Alligator mississippiensis: one gene and its partner. The protein of the gene in region 1 interacts with the protein of each later gene in a pairwise test. Links are inferred from orthologs where the notes say so. Each region holds a gene or a part of one and is shown on either strand. Other genes may lie near its edges.

Evidence for each region.
Region 2: the proteins of EHHADH (region 1) and ACTG1 interact in binary tests that used the Homo sapiens proteins (3 or more experiments, as listed by UniProt). The two-hybrid records come from large-scale screens. The link is inferred for Alligator mississippiensis from reciprocal best matches to the Homo sapiens genes EHHADH and ACTG1.

Annotation. Positions count from the first base shown.
Region 1 is NC_081830.1:29,982,639-29,991,211, forward strand, and holds the start of EHHADH (peroxisomal bifunctional enzyme), read right to left. Parts: upstream 3,490-8,573; coding exon 3,375-3,489; intron 2,375-3,374; coding exon 2,240-2,374; intron 1,358-2,239; coding exon 1,182-1,357; intron 1-1,181. UniProt on the Homo sapiens protein: Peroxisomal trifunctional enzyme possessing 2-enoyl-CoA hydratase, 3-hydroxyacyl-CoA dehydrogenase, and delta 3, delta 2-enoyl-CoA isomerase activities. Catalyzes two of the four reactions of the long chain fatty acids peroxisomal beta-oxidation pathway.
Region 2 is NC_081831.1:1,811,225-1,818,984, forward strand, and holds ACTG1 (actin, cytoplasmic 2), read right to left. Parts: upstream 3,630-7,760; 5' UTR 3,547-3,629; intron 2,919-3,546; 5' UTR 2,909-2,918; coding exon 2,786-2,908; intron 2,693-2,785; coding exon 2,453-2,692; intron 2,099-2,452; coding exon 1,660-2,098; intron 1,526-1,659; coding exon 1,344-1,525; intron 1,228-1,343; coding exon 1,084-1,227; 3' UTR 231-1,083; downstream 1-230. UniProt on the Homo sapiens protein: Actins are highly conserved proteins that are involved in various types of cell motility and are ubiquitously expressed in all eukaryotic cells.

The DNA.
Region 1 (8,573 bases):
GCCATGGCACAGACAATGAAATGCCAGGCAAAACAGTATTATTCATGCCTCTGTATGAGGGGGGTGATTCTTGTTGTACAGATAATCTTAATTCTGGCAACTCCTAATCTTTGAAAGCTAGAATGTATTATCACAATTTCCTTTTAACACTGTTTCTGTAAGCAACATGTGTTTATAATGGCAGAAGGGTATTTTTTCACAGTTTTTACTCAAAAAATGTTTTGGCCTAAAATAAAAAAAGAAAGCAAAGCAAAAAAAGAAATTTAAAATGTGCTCCTTAGCTGAAGACAACCATGAACATGTCAGACTTACAACACAGAAATACGCAAGAGCTAACAGCATCTAGAAAAGGTCCTTTTGAACTGAAACGTTAAGGTTGCCTAAGCTATTGATGTCATTGTCCACATCACCAGTAGTGTACCAAAATCTGCCTGGATTATTGGTTAGAAATTTTGCTATTTCCCCACTAATCCCAATAGTGTGATGGAAAAGACAGTGTTCTGCTGAGATACAACAAGGCTAGAGGGAGGGGTTAATTAATTGGTGACCCAGTGACCTCATTAAAATGACAAAATGCCCAAAAACCATTAATGCCATTCTTAAGGGAAGGCTGAAGTGTTTAATGATTGGTTTAAAGTCAGCACGTTAACAGACAAGCATTTTCACATGGAAGTATTGCTCCAGGGCTGTGTCCTGGTAACTCAGCAGAAGCTAGTGAATGCCCCTCCAGGAACAGGCTGTCTCCAACTGTGCAGATCTAAAAATAACAGTGTAGTACTACAACAGCACCAACACTGCTTAGCATGCATCAGCCTTGATCCTGAACGCCCGGAAATAGAGTGCAGCAGGGAGCCCATGTCAGCTGTGCCTCAGGGCAGGAAAATCATGGGATGAGCACTCAGGCAGCTCTCAGCACTGACCTAGAGTGAGCTGCAAGTGAGCCATACAGGGAAGTGGTGGAAAAGCAGGTGAAGAATGGGGGTGTCTGAACAAATACTGTGAAGTCCTAGGCATGCAGATGAGGCAGTAAGATGAGAGCCTCTCCTCTGGCCTTACTGTGGCTCCTGCGAAAACCTCAAGGTGAGAGATCACCCTGTTGTACTCCGTGCACCCCTGTACAGAACCTGACCTTGCGTACCTGTGGCCCATTGCTGAACTCTGTTGTTACCATCACATCCTACCTGTGCATGTGCAATCCTGTAATGACAGCCCAGTGCTACTTCCAAGCCTCCTCCCAAAGCCACGCCTTCAATGGCAGCCACCACTGGCTTCTGACTTCTCTCTATCAGAGAGACTGTTTCTGCCAAAGCAGGTCTGTCTCTTGGCGGGAGGGAGGAGAACATTCGAATATCAGCACCTGATGAAACACAGAGGAACTTAGACTGTAAAAAAAAAAAACCAACAAAAAAACCCACACACACACAAAAAAAAAAACACAGCAGGGAAAGGATTGCCTATCACGCCCCTTCCTTCTAGGCAACTCAACCCAGCTGAAATACCATGGAGTCCAAGTCAGACCTGAACTTGCAAGACAGCAATCCTGATTCCCAGGCTTGTCAAGCAGGTCAAAGATGGTGAAGAAAGGTAAAACTAATCAAACCCCTGCACAGTGTCCAGGACCCTATGTGACAAAACCTATTATTAGCCTTTTCTGTCTTTTGGGGTATAGGCTAAATAACTATAAGTGTGTGCAGTAATCACAAATCAATGTCACGACACTACTGTAATTCCCAAGCAATGGGCTCATTGCAATGGGCTCCGTCCTTTGCCCCTGTTTACAAATACAAAGGAAAATACGTCTTATATTTAGTGTCACCCATTGGGAGCGTGAACCATGGGTAAGGAGGTGAAAAAGGATCCTATATGGTCAATTTCTGAGAAACACCACATTAAAGATACATCAGGTTCCTGTAGATGGTGAATGGCTAGAATAATACAAGCATCGAAATACCCCAGACCCTGCTGCTATTCTGAAGAACTGCAGAATTTGTCACCAGGATACCTGTAGTGACTGTAACAGGACTTCCATGGGACATCAAAGTAGTGACTCAGTGGGTGCATGCAGGTGTGCACTGCAGCTTCTACCATTTACCAGTAAAGTCATATGACCCACAGACTGCTTCTCTGTGGGTCAAATCTTGATCCCATCAGTTAAAGGGAAAAGCTTCCAGAGTCTTCAAAGGGGCAAAGAATAAACAGGAACTCTCCATCCATACCTACCTGAAGAAAAATGCCTTACCTGCAGAAAATTTCCCATTTGCCCCACAAATCACAACAGCTTTCACAGAAGGGTCTGAGTCTGCTTTCTTCACTCCTTGTGCTAAAGCCTGGACGACTGCAGAGCTAAAATAAATCAGAGACTCATTGACTGATACTTACCCACGCTATGAATCAGAGAGTTCACATTTCTCATAAATATTAATAGCAGGCCAGGCACAGCAGCATGGTAGAAGGGAGCACCGAGTCCCAGTAAGCTTCTGTAGACCAGCAAAGCTATGCTGGATATCTTATTCAACCCACACCAGCCACATCTTCCATAGAAAACTGCCCAAGTGAATCCGTGCACCCACAGAGAGTCACACTGAGCTCAAGGGCATGTACTGGTTGTTAAGGTCACACCCAAAGCTACAGTGCCAACAATGCTTGTTAGATATGGGGTGCTCAGCTCTCAGCCTGAGGGCCAGATCCAGCCCTCAGTGCTGTGTAATCCAGTCCATACAGCTCCCTACAGATCTTGTGGGGAGTTCCATGGGCTGTGACCCTGGATGCTAGACTCGGCATGCAGGGTGGCATGGGGCCCAATCCTGCCACATAGGGACCGGGTGGGGGCAGTATTAGACCATCACCCATTTGCTGAAATGCCTTGTAACACATTTATTTCTATGGAAGCAAGTAAGCAAGCCAGCCCAACATGCAATATGGGAAAGACCTTTTTTTTCCAAGGCAATTAAATTACTTTCCAACTTAAATGCTTGCACTCAAAAACAGAAATGGTCCCAAGTAGTTTATAAAAATGAATACCAAACCCTTGACAAGATAAGGAAAATATTTCAAAACCCTGAGGGGAGTTTAAGCCAACAGTTCACACCCATGGTATGATCTAGATAATTATCAGGCTTTGAGCTGCCACCACTCGTAGAAATTTAATGTTCATGTTCAGGCATCTGGGAGGCTCCTGGTCCTGGGTATGACTTGAAACTGTACCCTGCTGGGAAAGGATGGCCTGGTGGGGCTTCTCGTGGTGGGGAAGCTCCCCAGAAATGCCAGGCCAGTTGCATCCCCGGTAAAAGGCAGGGAGGGGCTCCTTAAAACCCCAGCCCCCACATCCTGATGGCATACCTTGATTTAGGGCCAGGCACAGGGACCAGGCATACCTTTGCGCACTGGAGGCGCCAGGGAGGGGGTGGGAGTTGGCCCAGAGAGGGTGGGCAGGAGAGTAGCCCCAGAGTGGGGGTAATAGAGCAGGTGTGGCCCACAGAGTAGGGGCATCTTTACGACCTGAAGGACTGCGCGTAAGGAAGGTGTAGAGTAGGACTGAAGGCCAGTCTGAAGGGCTGCACCAGGGGGTGTGTTGAGTAGGGCTGAAGGACAGCCAGAAGGGCAGCACATGGGCCAACCCCCATAAGCATGTGAATATATTGTGAACGTTGCCCAGTGAGGGGCTGGGGGCAGAGTCAGCTCAGTGTTCAGTTAATTGGCTGGTCACTGTCTGGATGAGGGTCACGGAAGACCCAAGAGGCTGTATGCCAGCCAGCCAAGGTGAGAGTAGGCAAGCCTGATGGCTGCTCAAAGGAGTAGGGCAGAGTGAGTGTGGCCCAGCGAAGGACAGCGTGCAAGACGCCTGGTCAGAAAAGGCAGAGTGGAAGAGGCCCCAGTGAGAGGCGGGAGGTATGCGTGTGACCCCAAATAGGGTAGTGTGCAAGAGGCCCAACAGTGGACTGAGTCTGACCCTATCTCAGGCCAGAGCTGTAATAGCAAACTAGATGCCATCTGCAAGGCATGGGCCACAGTATAGGGAAGGCATGGAGCCATGGATAGCACCCCTGGCATTGGGGCAGTAAATGGGCAGCCTCCCGCTTGTTAAATCAGAGAATATCAAGTCATGGCAGGTAAGACAGGGCACAGGTAGGAGGCCAACATGAGACCCGGTCCTGTCATGCCCCCTGTCACAGCAGCCAAAAAGGTAAGATATGTGGGGCCAGGGGGGGTGTGAACAAAGCTCACTGAAATGGATCCCACCCTAGATGGACAGGGCTCTGCCTCCAGTGGGGCAAGAGACAGCAATCCCACTACTGTCCATCTAATGGCTATCAAATAAAAAGTGTAGTTGAGTCACCATTGGCGAAGGAAGACCAGGAGCACAAACCAGACTCCACCACCTTCTCCTTTCTAGGGTACTGCCCTTCTCACTGAGCCACATTCCCTCCATTTATTGTCCTTCTGGTTGCCCAGTGGGCCAGCTTCAGAAGTGAGGCTGGAGAGTGTGTTTGGCAATGCATAGGGGGTTGGAGCACTCAGCTGGGAAGTGGGAGATGCAGGTTCAAACCCCCTTGGAGCAAGGGGTCTCCTGCTTCCTGGGCAAGCGCCATAACAATAGACTAAAGGTGGGGTGTCCCCTTCTCCTTTCTACAAGTTACACACCTAAAATCCATGGAAGTAGCTCAAAAAACTACGTGAGCTGTCCAAATGCTACCTCAAAGCATCAAAGTGGACCTGAATATGGGCTGTTGGGGCTAGCTTTCTTGATCAAAGGCCACAATGAAAGGTATATGAAATGAAGGAAGGGAGGACCAGCATACAGTACAACCTCCTTATAATGAACCACCACAGGGCCAGGAGAAAAAAATCTTTAAAAGAGGGTGCTTGCTACAGCAGGGTTAGTTAGTTGGCTACACCATAAAAATGTGGGAAAAAAGAAAAGAAAAAAGAATTGGTATTATTAAAAAACAGTGGCTTATTAACAATCAAGATTTATTACAATGAGATTGTAGTGTATTCCAAGATAAGAATTGGAAGAAACAGGGAAGTTTCTGGCCCAAAATGGGAGAGATGCTGTCGCATTTATTTTATGTTTAAGAAATAAGGGAAAGAACAGACTTCTTACAGGAGAAAGGGCCATGACCCCAGAGAAGAGAAATGCAGACTGAAGGCTATGACAATGGGGAAACAGCTGACGGGAGAGAGGAAATGAACTGAGAATGTGCAGTTGAGAGAACAAATTAACTATCATGCCAGGGCAATAAGACACCTCATTAGGGATCTGGAGACTGGGTAGAGAAAGTGGCAGGAAGAGGAAAGGTGGATATAGCAGATAAGGAAAGAAAACCATCCCAAATAACAGCAGTGTTTCACAATATAAGGGGCCCTGTCACATGAAGTGAGCTTTAATCAGGCCAGAAGAGAAGGCTGGTACCAGGGAGCTGGTGCAGAGGGAGAGATGCATGGGGAAGCTGAAGTAGAGTTGTAGTAAAAGGGGAGTGAGCAGTGTGCTCTTGTACACTGGATACCCACCCGAGCCATCCTTAGCTGACCAGCTTCAAACAGCAGCAGCAAACTTGGGCAGCAGAAGAAAAACTGATGACTCAAGCTGTCAGAAGAGGAATGGGGGCAAAGAAGGGCATGGAGAAAGAAGAGTTTCTGCATCCAGGGGAAATGAGAAGTACTATATTTACTCAACTACAAGACGAGGTTTTTTTCCCCCATTTAATTGCGGAGAGCCCTTCATCTTGGAATCAAGTATGAGGCAGTGGGAGGGGTAAGCAGCTGCTGCCTGTCCCCTGCTGCCTCTGCACCCCGCCATCTCCCCACTGCAGCCCCTTTCCCCCGCATCCCCTCCGCAGTCTCTCTCCCTGCCTCCCCACCCCACCACTTTATCCTTGCCCCAGCACCAGGAGGCTCAGTCCCCACTCCAGCCTGGGGCATAGAGCAAGATCCCTGCCCACTGCTGTAGCAGCAGTACTGAGCTGGCAAAGCTCCTACAGGGCTGAGCTGGGGCATGCTCTGTGCCCCAAGCTGGAGCTGAGATGGAGCCTGCTGGCATCAGGGCAAAGGCAAGGGAGGCACAGGGGGGAGAGCAGAAGCTGTGGGAGGGAGGGGAAGGGGGAGTAAGCAGCAGGGGGCAAAATGCTTGACCTCCTCACATTACCTGCTCCCCCTCACTGCCTGCCACCCTGCAGCGGTGGGGAGATGGGGTGAGAGGACTAATTTAGAATGACCATCCAATAATTAGGTTCTATACATGGAAAATAATGACAAATTTATACATTTTTCAAGTATAGAATGTAATTGTTGGGAGGGGTCATCTTAAATTCAGGGTCGTCTTGTATTGGGGTAAATGTAGATGTTCAGAAAAGAAGGGAGGAAAAAAAATCAAGGGGGAAAGACACCCCCACATTGTCATCCACATTCAATGAAAATGAAAAGTTGCATTAAATGAACGGACACAGAGAGGGTGAGACACATGAGGAAATAAAGTGAGCAGGGAGCAGATGGCCCAGGAAATCCTGGGAAAGAAGCAGGGCTTAGGAAACTGTCCTGAGTACCCAAGTTTTTGTGAACTGGGAGAGAGCATGAAACCAAGGGCAAGAGTCCTCATGCCCGGAATACCAGTAAGAGAGACTGAAGTCCTCCAGAAAGCAAAGGAAGAAAAGGGAAGGAAAAATCATAAAATTAATGAGAAGGGGCTCAAGAGGCAAGAGATGCTGTGGCTCAGCTGGAAAGGCTGACAGGAAGGCCTAGAGCAGGGAAGACTGATCTGTGGTACGTGTGCCACAAGTGACCTAGGCCGTTTGCTGTGTGGCATGTGGTAGAGCAACAGTTTGGGCTGGGGGCACAGGGCAGGGAGCAGAAAGCAGAGCAGCAGGTGAAGGGGGTCAGAGTGGAACTCAGGGAAGGCGTGGGGTTTAATCTGTCTGCCACAAAGGTTGGCTCCCGCTGGCCCAGAGTTTCCATATATTCCTGGTAGTCTATGCTCCCTCTTCACTCTGCCTATCCCTGGGGAAATTTTGGGATGGGCCACATCCCAGTCCTGTTTCTTTTCAGCCTACTTCTGCCACTTCTTATGGCATGTGACTTTTTTACCTCCCCTTTGCCTCAGGTGACTCCCAGCTCTTCCCATTGTCCTCCCACCATCCCATTCCACACACCAGTCTCCCCCTATTTCAACATCTCACCACCCTCTGGGACTCATAGGCTTCCTTCCCAAGCCTCTTTCTTTCACTGTATTGCTGCTAATGCTGCCATCCCTCCTCTCAATCAGGCCTGCAGCTAGGACATAGAACAGGGCTTGAGGAAAGGGATGGCAAAGGGAAGCTACCCAGAGACTGATGCTAGCAGAAGCAGCTCAAACAGGGATCTCTGGACACCATCAGAGCATCTACAGCTTTAAGAAGGTATTCCCTTAACTGTCCTGACTATTGGTTTATTTTCACCCTTCCCTAGTTGCCCTTTGGTATCTCTTCTCCTTTCTCATATTTTTCCATGTAGCTAATTTCCCTCCAAGAAAACCCCATCCCAAAACCTTCAAGAATTGCAACGCTAGTGTGACATGCTGCTGACTTTGCTTGTGTGTTTGACCCTTTCCACCTGCCCTGGGCCTGTCTACTTGAACAGCAGGATCTCTGGAGCAAGGATCATCTACTTGTGCCTGCACACTGCCTGGCACAGGAAGGCCCCACACCTAGTTGATCTCTAGACACTACTGTAATAAATAAGATGCTTTTTAATTTCAACTCCTCCCTCTCTCCCCCCATATAAGCAGTCTTGCTGCTCCTTGTAACGTCTGATTTCTCACATCTGGCCTTTCTCCCAGATAGATAACCTATGTGCTTATCTTTGCACCCCCTTCCTCTTTGGCTTCTTTAACATGACACCCCGCACTCCAATCCACAGAAACTTTTAGATCATTTTCCTCACTGAGCACTGTGACCATATCATCTCCTCAGATTTTCTCCACTCTGTCTCCCTTCTCTTTCAAACATTTTGTCCTAATCCCCAAAGCCCATCCTTACTTCTCTACCCCAGGCTTTCATTGGGTTTCTCATCCATCCTGAATCTCCTCCAGCCTTGGCCAAAGAACAGACTGCAGTGAATATTTTGTCACAGCAATTAAAATGTATAAAAGAGAAGCAGACACTAAAAGTGCTGCTTTCAGCTACCTCTTCCATTTTCATACCCAATAAGAGGCCTCTCAAATTATCCACATTTCCAAAAGAATCAAAGGGTTTTATGGAACAGCCAATAAAACTCTGAGAAACTGGAGAAATTCTTAAGCACGGAAAGGCAAGGCCCCTGGCTTATCACAGGGAGAAAACAACCCAGTTGTTACGAATAAAATAACCTTATCGCTGCAGCTTCCCTCAAACATTGAGACTAGAATTGTATTTATACTAAAGCCAGAAAACAATTCCCTGCCTCCTACAGACATGTCATGACTCTAGATACAAACATGCCATGATGTTGACAAGCTGATCTGAAGTCCCGTTGCTTATTGCAACAAAGCAAGAACAGGCATGTTCTCCAGAAAGAAAATTAAACTTCCTGTTTAAGGAGATGGTTTGATTCCCTCAATCATC
Region 2 (7,760 bases), on another chromosome or scaffold:
CCTGGCCGGCCGCCACCATGCCTGCTCCATCACTGCTGACACCTGCTCAGCAGGTAGGTGTCTGCTTTTAGACTAGGCAGAGCAAGCTGCACTCCTGTCATGCAGCTGCCAGCTTCCCTTGGGAAGGGAGCTGGGCCCTTGTCTCAGACCTGGACACAAGGCTTCTCCCTCTGACACAGGCTCCCCCACCCAGCAGGGGCCAGCACAGCAGGAAGGACAGCACACGCATGTCATTTACTGCAGCGCTTTTATTTTCCTTACAATGACGTGTTGTCGGGCATTACAATTCTCGACCTTGGGATGACTTACAAGTTTTGGTTTTCTACTGTCATGTGAGAACATTAAGGCAACGTACAAAAAAAAATCTTACATAAATTAAACGGGATGCAGAAATTTACAGGTGTAAATGCAGAGTTTCAGCAACTCAAGTCGAGTTAACTTTTAGCCCCGTGTGATGTCTTGCTGGGATACAGGTGGGTGGGAAGATGGAAACGGGCTCCTAAGGCTTGGATGTGATATGTTTTTCCAACCTTGCTAGAACGGCAGCAACAGAAGTGAACTCTTTGATGGACTCCTACCAGCCTCTACATGAAAACTTGGAATACTCAGCGCTTTACAGATTGGAGTCTGACCTCAAATACCCTGTACAGATCTAGTCTCCGGCCCACGAGCTTAGGCTCCAGGCAAGTGTCACTCATCAATAGTAGCAAAGCCAGGAGCCCTACAGGCTCCTTGGCAGATTCTCTTCCACAAACACAAATTAACCTTGGCAGCAGGGTCACACTAGTGACTGCACCTGTACCAGGGTCTAGGTCAGATGTGTACAGGGTATTTTGCTAGAGAGTGTACACCAAGGGAACAAGGAACTTGAATACAAGGTCAAATCAGCGACAGCTTGACAATCCAACAGTGCTGACGTGTGTCTAACATCAGATACAGACTTTCCAAGGGCAAGTTTCTTTGAAAGAAGGCTTATTCCAGTTTTAGGAGGCTAGCATGAGGTGTATAGATTTGCCTGGGCAAACATATACTAGTGAAAAAAATACTCATGCAGCAGATGCTGGGCATCTGCTCGCAGTCCATTTAGAAGCATTTGCGGTGGACAATGGAGGGGCCGGACTCATCGTACTCCTGCTTGCTGATCCACATCTGCTGGAAGGTGGAGAGGGAGGCCAGGATGGAGCCGCCGATCCAGACAGAGTATTTGCGCTCAGGGGGAGCAATGATCTGCAAGGCAACAAAGACAAGTCAGCCGCAGAGCCAGAGCTTTGGAGGCCACCTCCCCTCCCAAGTCCCTGGGCATCCGAGAGAGGGTTTGCTCGTGCCCCGGAGGCTGCACCTACCTTGATTTTCATTGTGCTGGGTGCCAGGGCTGTGATTTCCTTCTGCATTCTGTCGGCGATGCCAGGGTACATGGTGGTACCACCGGACAATACTGTGTTGGCATACAGGTCCTTTCGGATGTCTACGTCACACTTCATGATGGAGTTGAAAGTGGTCTCGTGAATGCCACACGACTCCATACCTGGAGAAGAGAGGTTGCCAGGTCAGCACACAGCTGGCCACTCAAGCCTTGCGCCGCCAGCCCCTGCCCCCTGCACTCAGACCCATGACCCCTGGCACTGACACGTTCCAGGCACGTGCTTGGTAGACACCTACCTAGGAAGGATGGCTGGAAGAGGGCCTCTGGACACCTGAACCGCTCATTGCCGATGGTGATCACCTGCCCATCAGGCAGCTCGTAGCTCTTCTCCAGGGAGGAGGAGGAAGCAGCTGTAGCCATCTCCTGTTCGAAGTCCAGGGCAACGTAGCACAGCTTCTCCTTGATGTCACGCACAATTTCCCTCTCGGCCGTGGTGGTGAAGCTGTAGCCTCTTTCTGTCAGGATCTTCATGAGGTAGTCTGTCAGGTCCCGGCCAGCCAAGTCCAGACGCAGGATGGCGTGGGGCAGAGCGTAGCCCTCGTAGATGGGCACAGTGTGGGTGACACCATCCCCAGAGTCCATAACAATACCAGTGGTACGACCAGAGGCGTACAGGGACAGCACGGCCTGGATAGCAACGTACATGGCTGGGGTGTTGAAGGTCTCAAACATGATCTATGAGGGGGAAGGGAAAGAAAACCGTGGTTTCAGTGACAAGAAGCCTCATCCCAAGCTGGTTCACTCAAATCCAAATTAGATCACACATCATGCTGGCATGCAAGAGTGGGATGTGTGGAGAAAAGGGGAGGGGAAAAAAAAAAAAAAAGAAAAAAAAGGCAAAGAACGCAGGCAGAAAATACACAAATAAAAAGAAACCTGAGACTTCAGGAAGGAAATGCCAGGAGGAGAACAGAACCCTGGAACAGGGAAAGAAAAAGGCGAGTTTAAGGAGATGCCATAAAATTGAAGAGGGCTTGTGCTGCGCAAGGGATGGAGGCGCCGACGGCTGCTCCCGTGGGGAGCCCCTACCTGTGTCATCTTCTCCCTGTTGGCCTTGGGGTTCAGGGGGGCTTCTGTGAGCAGCACGGGGTGCTCCTCCGGGGCCACGCGCAGCTCGTTGTAGAAGGTGTGGTGCCAGATCTTCTCCATGTCGTCCCAGTTGGTGACGATGCCGTGCTCGATGGGGTACTTCAGGGTCAGGATGCCTCTCTTGCTCTGGGCCTCGTCGCCCACGTAGCTGTCCTTCTGACCCATGCCGACCATGACGCCCTTTAAGAGACAAACACGGGAGGGGCGAGGTTAGGGCCGCGGCTCTGGACCGGCTCCGCGGCGCCGCTCGGGGCTGGTCTCCGCCCAACTGACCTGGTGCCTGGGGCGCCCCACGATGGAGGGGAACACGGCCCGAGGAGCGTCGTCTCCTGCAAAGCCAGCTTTGCACATCCCGGAGCCATTGTCGATGACGAGCGCTGCGATTTCTTCTTCCATTGCGGAGGATCTGGGAGGAAGATGAGGAGACCTGTGGTCAGCGGTGCTGAGCAGGCCCCTTGCCAAGCAGGATTCAGTCCCCGCAGCACCCCACCCAGCTCAGGGCTCCACCCCCCATCATGCATTGCATTGCGTTTTTTAAAATGCATTAAGAAAAAAGAGTGGTGGGGGGGTGCTCCAGCAGGCGCTGCTGCAGCTTGCAGGGAGGGGGCAGCACTACAGCCCCCCCACCCCCCTGCAGCACCCCGGGGTGCAGCATCTCCCCCGGAGCCCGGCTCCTCGCAGCTTCCCTCTCTCCTGCCCGCAGGGGGCGCCCGCGCGCCGCGCCGCTCCCCTCCCTTCGAATCTCCCGCGGCGTGACGTCACCCGCCGGTCCAGCCAATCACGCCCCCGCCCCTGGCATCATTCAAATCGCCCGGGTGGACGAAACCATTCCCAACACGCGGGGGTGAAAGAAAAGCCGGTCGCGCCCATTCCAACGGCGGGCGGTTGGGGGTCAGGTGGACCGAACCATTTTTTCCCCTCCCCTCGCTATAGAGCGCGGCAACGGCCGCCTAGGGGGATGAGCCCCTTCCGCGCCATTACGAGAAGAGGGGCGAGAGGCAGGCGAGCGGCCCGCGGCGGGAGGAGCCCTGTACCTGTGCGGAGGAGGCTGGTCTCGGTGCGGGGGGGAAGCGCTGCTGCTAGGTCCGCTGCCGCCGGCTGAGTGAGACCGTCTGTTCGCCCGCCCCGCCCTTTTATACCCGGCGGGCTCGGGCCCCGCCTCGCCGGCCGAGACATCGCCATATATGGAGATCTTTCAGGAACACGCGCGCCCATTGGCTGGCGCGGCCCCGGCCACGTGGGGCGGCTGGTGGGCTCGGCCCCGCCTCTGCCGCCCCGGAACCTGCATGAACCAAGCTGCCGCCCCGGAACCTGCTCCCGGCTCCTGGGGGCCACGGGGCACCCCGGGCATGGGGCACCTGGTCCACGGGGCACCCCGGGCATGGGGCACCTGGGCCATGGGGCACCCGGGTGTGGAGCACCTGGGCCATGCAGCACCCCAGGCATGGGGCACTTGGGCCATGTGACACCCCAGGCATGGGGCACCTAGGCCGTGTGACACCCCAGGCATGGGGCACCTGGGCCACAGGGCAACCGGGGCGTGGGGCACCTGGGTCGTGTGACGCCCCAGGCATGGGGCATCTGGCCCATGCAGCACCCCTGGGCTATGTGGCCATGTGACACCCCGGGCGTGGGGCACCTGGGCCATGCAGCACCCCGGACATGGGGCATTTGGGCCCGTCCTGCACCCTGGGCGTGGAGCATCTGGGCCCGTGCTGCATCTCCGGGCCCACGGTGCCTGGGACCACGCTGCACCCCACTCCCATGGCACCCCGTGCCCAGCACCACCAAGCATGAGGCCCCATGGCACCAGCGCCATGACCCAAGTGCCACGGCCCTTGTGTGATTGCACCGCTCCATGGCCCGCTGCCACGCAAGCGCCGTGGGTGTCTGAGTCCCATGGCAGCTTTCACGGGGCTCCGGGCAGGGACGGTGGAACGGGCCACCCGGTTGTCCTGGGGCACCGACTCTTTCCAGGAAGGCAAACGCTGGGATGGGCGGGTTTACTCAGGCCACCACAAGCACGTGGGGTCAGCATGGAGAGACCTCCCCTGTCATTAGCTGCGACCAGAGGCTGAATGCACGAGTCTCCCCGGACGCGGCCAGCTCGGGGCAGCCCAGGCCATTGGGGTGCACGATGCCGCATCACCAGGCTCGGTGCTCAACGGGGCTCCTAAGTCCCCTGGACAGCAGCAGGAGTTCGGGGCCTACATGCCAGTGAGGCCTGCCCAGGGGCCAGCACTCGCTCGGGGGACGCGCACCCCAGGACTAGCCCCGGCACCTCCGTGGCGCTTACGAGCCGTGTTTGGGGCATCTCGACCCGGTGCGATGGGCCGGGGGCGCTGGCCCCGGGCTACCGGGAAGCAGCGGGAGAGGGAGGGCGTCCACCTGCCCCCAGCACAGCTGGACGCAGCAGGCCACATCTGCCCTAGGGCGTTGCACCTCTGGCTTCAAGCCCCGCTTTGGGGGAAGGGACCAGGCCCCGGCAGGGCTTTCGGTCCAGCCCAGCGCCCATCCCTGTTCTCGCTGCCGAGCAGGAAACATTTGCTCCCTGACGTCAAAGCCCATGAGCGAAGGCAGCGGTGACTGTGCGCCGCGGCAGCGAGCGGGGGAGCCAGGCCCGGATCAGCTCATCTTTAAGCAGCAAAAAAACCCTGCCCCCCTCCCGGCAGGCCCGGGAGGAGGAACCGGCGGGTGCGTTTCCTGGCACCGGGGCTGCAGGCAGCTGGGGAGGCGGAGCGGGAAGTTTCTGCCCAGATGAGGTCTTTCATTGCGGGGCCGAGGGGCTGGGCCACGGCCGGGCCCCGGGGAGCTGCGGGGGAAGGCTAGGAGGAGCAGGAGCTGGGCCCCCCCTTCCCCGACTAAGGGTGCCCGATGCCCGGGGGCAGGAGCGGGTTCATCACCCAGGCAGAGGAAACGGGCATCGCTCATCATGGGGGGGCCCGGCCTGCACAAGCCCCGGGGTTCCAGGTGACTCGTCCCCGGACCGGGCTTCTCCCGATGCCCAAACTAGGAAGCAAATCCCAGCCCAGCCAATGCCGGAGCAAGGCAGGATCCCGGCGTGGATGACTAATCCCAGGGGAAGTCCATCCTACGCTGGGGGAGGCAAGGGAGAGGGCCAGGTTATGCGGAGCCAGGCCCGGGTACCCCCAGCCCCTGGCTCCTCCGGCTGGGCTGGCTCTGGAGCCACCCTCCGCGCCGGCCCCCATATCCAGGCATGGGGATCTGGTCCACCCGGGGAGGATGCCCTGCTGCCCCCGAGGTGGGTTTCTCCCGGTGTTTCCCGGTTCTCGAGGAGGACACGGGCATTCAGCCGTGGGTGACCGGCTCCGTGCCACGTACCCGGCGGGGCGGGGGTGCTGCAGGGTCTTGCCTCTACCCCTCCCCCAGGGAAAGGCCCCTTGGGCCACGGGCGGGCTCCCTGCAGGGCTCTGACGTTCGGGGCGCGAGCAAGCCAGGCGGGTTCCCACGCCCACGGTCCCCGCGCGCCATCGCCCCAGGGCCCGGCCAGGTGGCAAGGTCAAGTGCAGGTTCATGGGGCTCCAGCGTGGTTCCCTCCGGCAGTGCCAGCAGAGCCCCCCCAGGCTGGGTGACATTGTCTCCCGGAGGGGCTGGAGCGTGGGTGGGGGCAGAGCCTGGGGGGCACGGCTCTGCCTCCCCCCCGCCCCCCCGCCCCAGGGCACGGGGAGGCAGTCGTACCAGCCGCACCCGGGATGTGTCACGACCAGGCATGGCGTGACGGGGAGGGAGCAGGTGGAGCCGGCCAGGTGGGCCGGCGGGAGCAGTGCATGCCTATATTTGGTGATCTCGGGCCCAGCCGTGCCCGCCCGCTCCGAAACCTGCCCCGGCTCCCGCCCCGCGGCGAACAGCCGGGGCAGTGCCGGGGCTGGACTTTGGCTCCCCGAAGCCGGGAGCCGGGCGGGGGCACACAGGGCGTGCGGGCACAGCTTGTGCATGGGGGTGAACCCAGAGCTTGCACACAGGGGTGCCACGTGGCCCTGCCTCTCCTCTGCACCCCTGTGGACACAGTGACCTGGGGGGGCAAGCAGGAGGGGAGGGGCGCCCTGCCCTGCCCTGGGAACGGGGAGAACTGGGGCATGGGGGCCGCCCTGGTGCAGCACGGGTGGGCACGGAGCCCCTCCACAGCCTGGGGGCAGGAAGCCTCCCTGAGCCCCCCAGCCCCTTGGATGCACGACGAGCCCCAGACCTGCTGCCCCCCACCTCGCTGCAGCCACGTGGGCAGCACCCACGGGCCCTCCCAGCACTTGCATGGGGGCAGCAACACCCCGGCCTCGATGCTGCCGCACCAGGGCAGCTCCTGCCCCATGCGGGGCCGCGGCTACAAGAACCCCCCCAGCTCTGCCCGCTTTGGGGCACCAGCTCTGGGCTGGGGAGTGCCAAGAAACAGCAGGTTGCTTCCTTGCGGGGGGGTCTGGAAGGTGACACCCATCAGCACTGGCGCTAGGCTGGTCTGTACTGGTGAGAGCGGGTGCTGGGCACCGGAGGCGCCGGCAGGACCCCGACGGGGCGCACTGACGGCAGGGAACTTGCTCTGGCTTCATGCCTGGATCGGGCCCCTCTGCATGGCTGAGATCCAGCCACACGGCCCCCCCGGCAGTGGGACCAGTTCCCTCCATCAGTACGACCAGCTAGGCACCCAGATGGGACTGGGTGCACTGGTTTCCACAGAGTCTGGCTGCAAGCGGTGCCCAGCTGGGCCTGGCCAGCGCCAGGAGGGGAGCCCCCAAACATGCACCATGCACCGGGGCAAGGAGCCCGCATGGGGGACCTCCTCCGCTCCGGCCAGCCTGGGGCCGGGCACGGCAGTTCCTTGCTGCGTCCACCAGGGGGGCCCCTGGACCGGTGCCGTGGCCTGTCCCGTGCCGCAGGCGTGTCCGTGTCGGTGCCCGGCGCCGTGCCCGTGTTGTGCCAGCAGGTGTGTGCAACCTGGGCCGGCCCGCCTGCAGCCTGGGCCCCCAGGGACAAGGGCAGGGACAGTTTGGGAGGGAATCTCCCAGGCCAGTGGCCTGAGATGAGTTTTTCCGTTCTCAGCCTCCGCCAGCAGCCCGGGACTCGGTTCACCTCCTGCCCTGTGGGCTTCACCCGCCGTGCGTGCAGGGCCCAGCTGCTGCCTGGAACAGCCGTGGCGCCCAGCCTGCCCCACAGGAGCCCTGGCCATGGGTGGGGGCAGGGACAGACCTGCCCCTGTGGGCTGGGGACAGGCATCGATCCCCCCTCGACAGTGCTG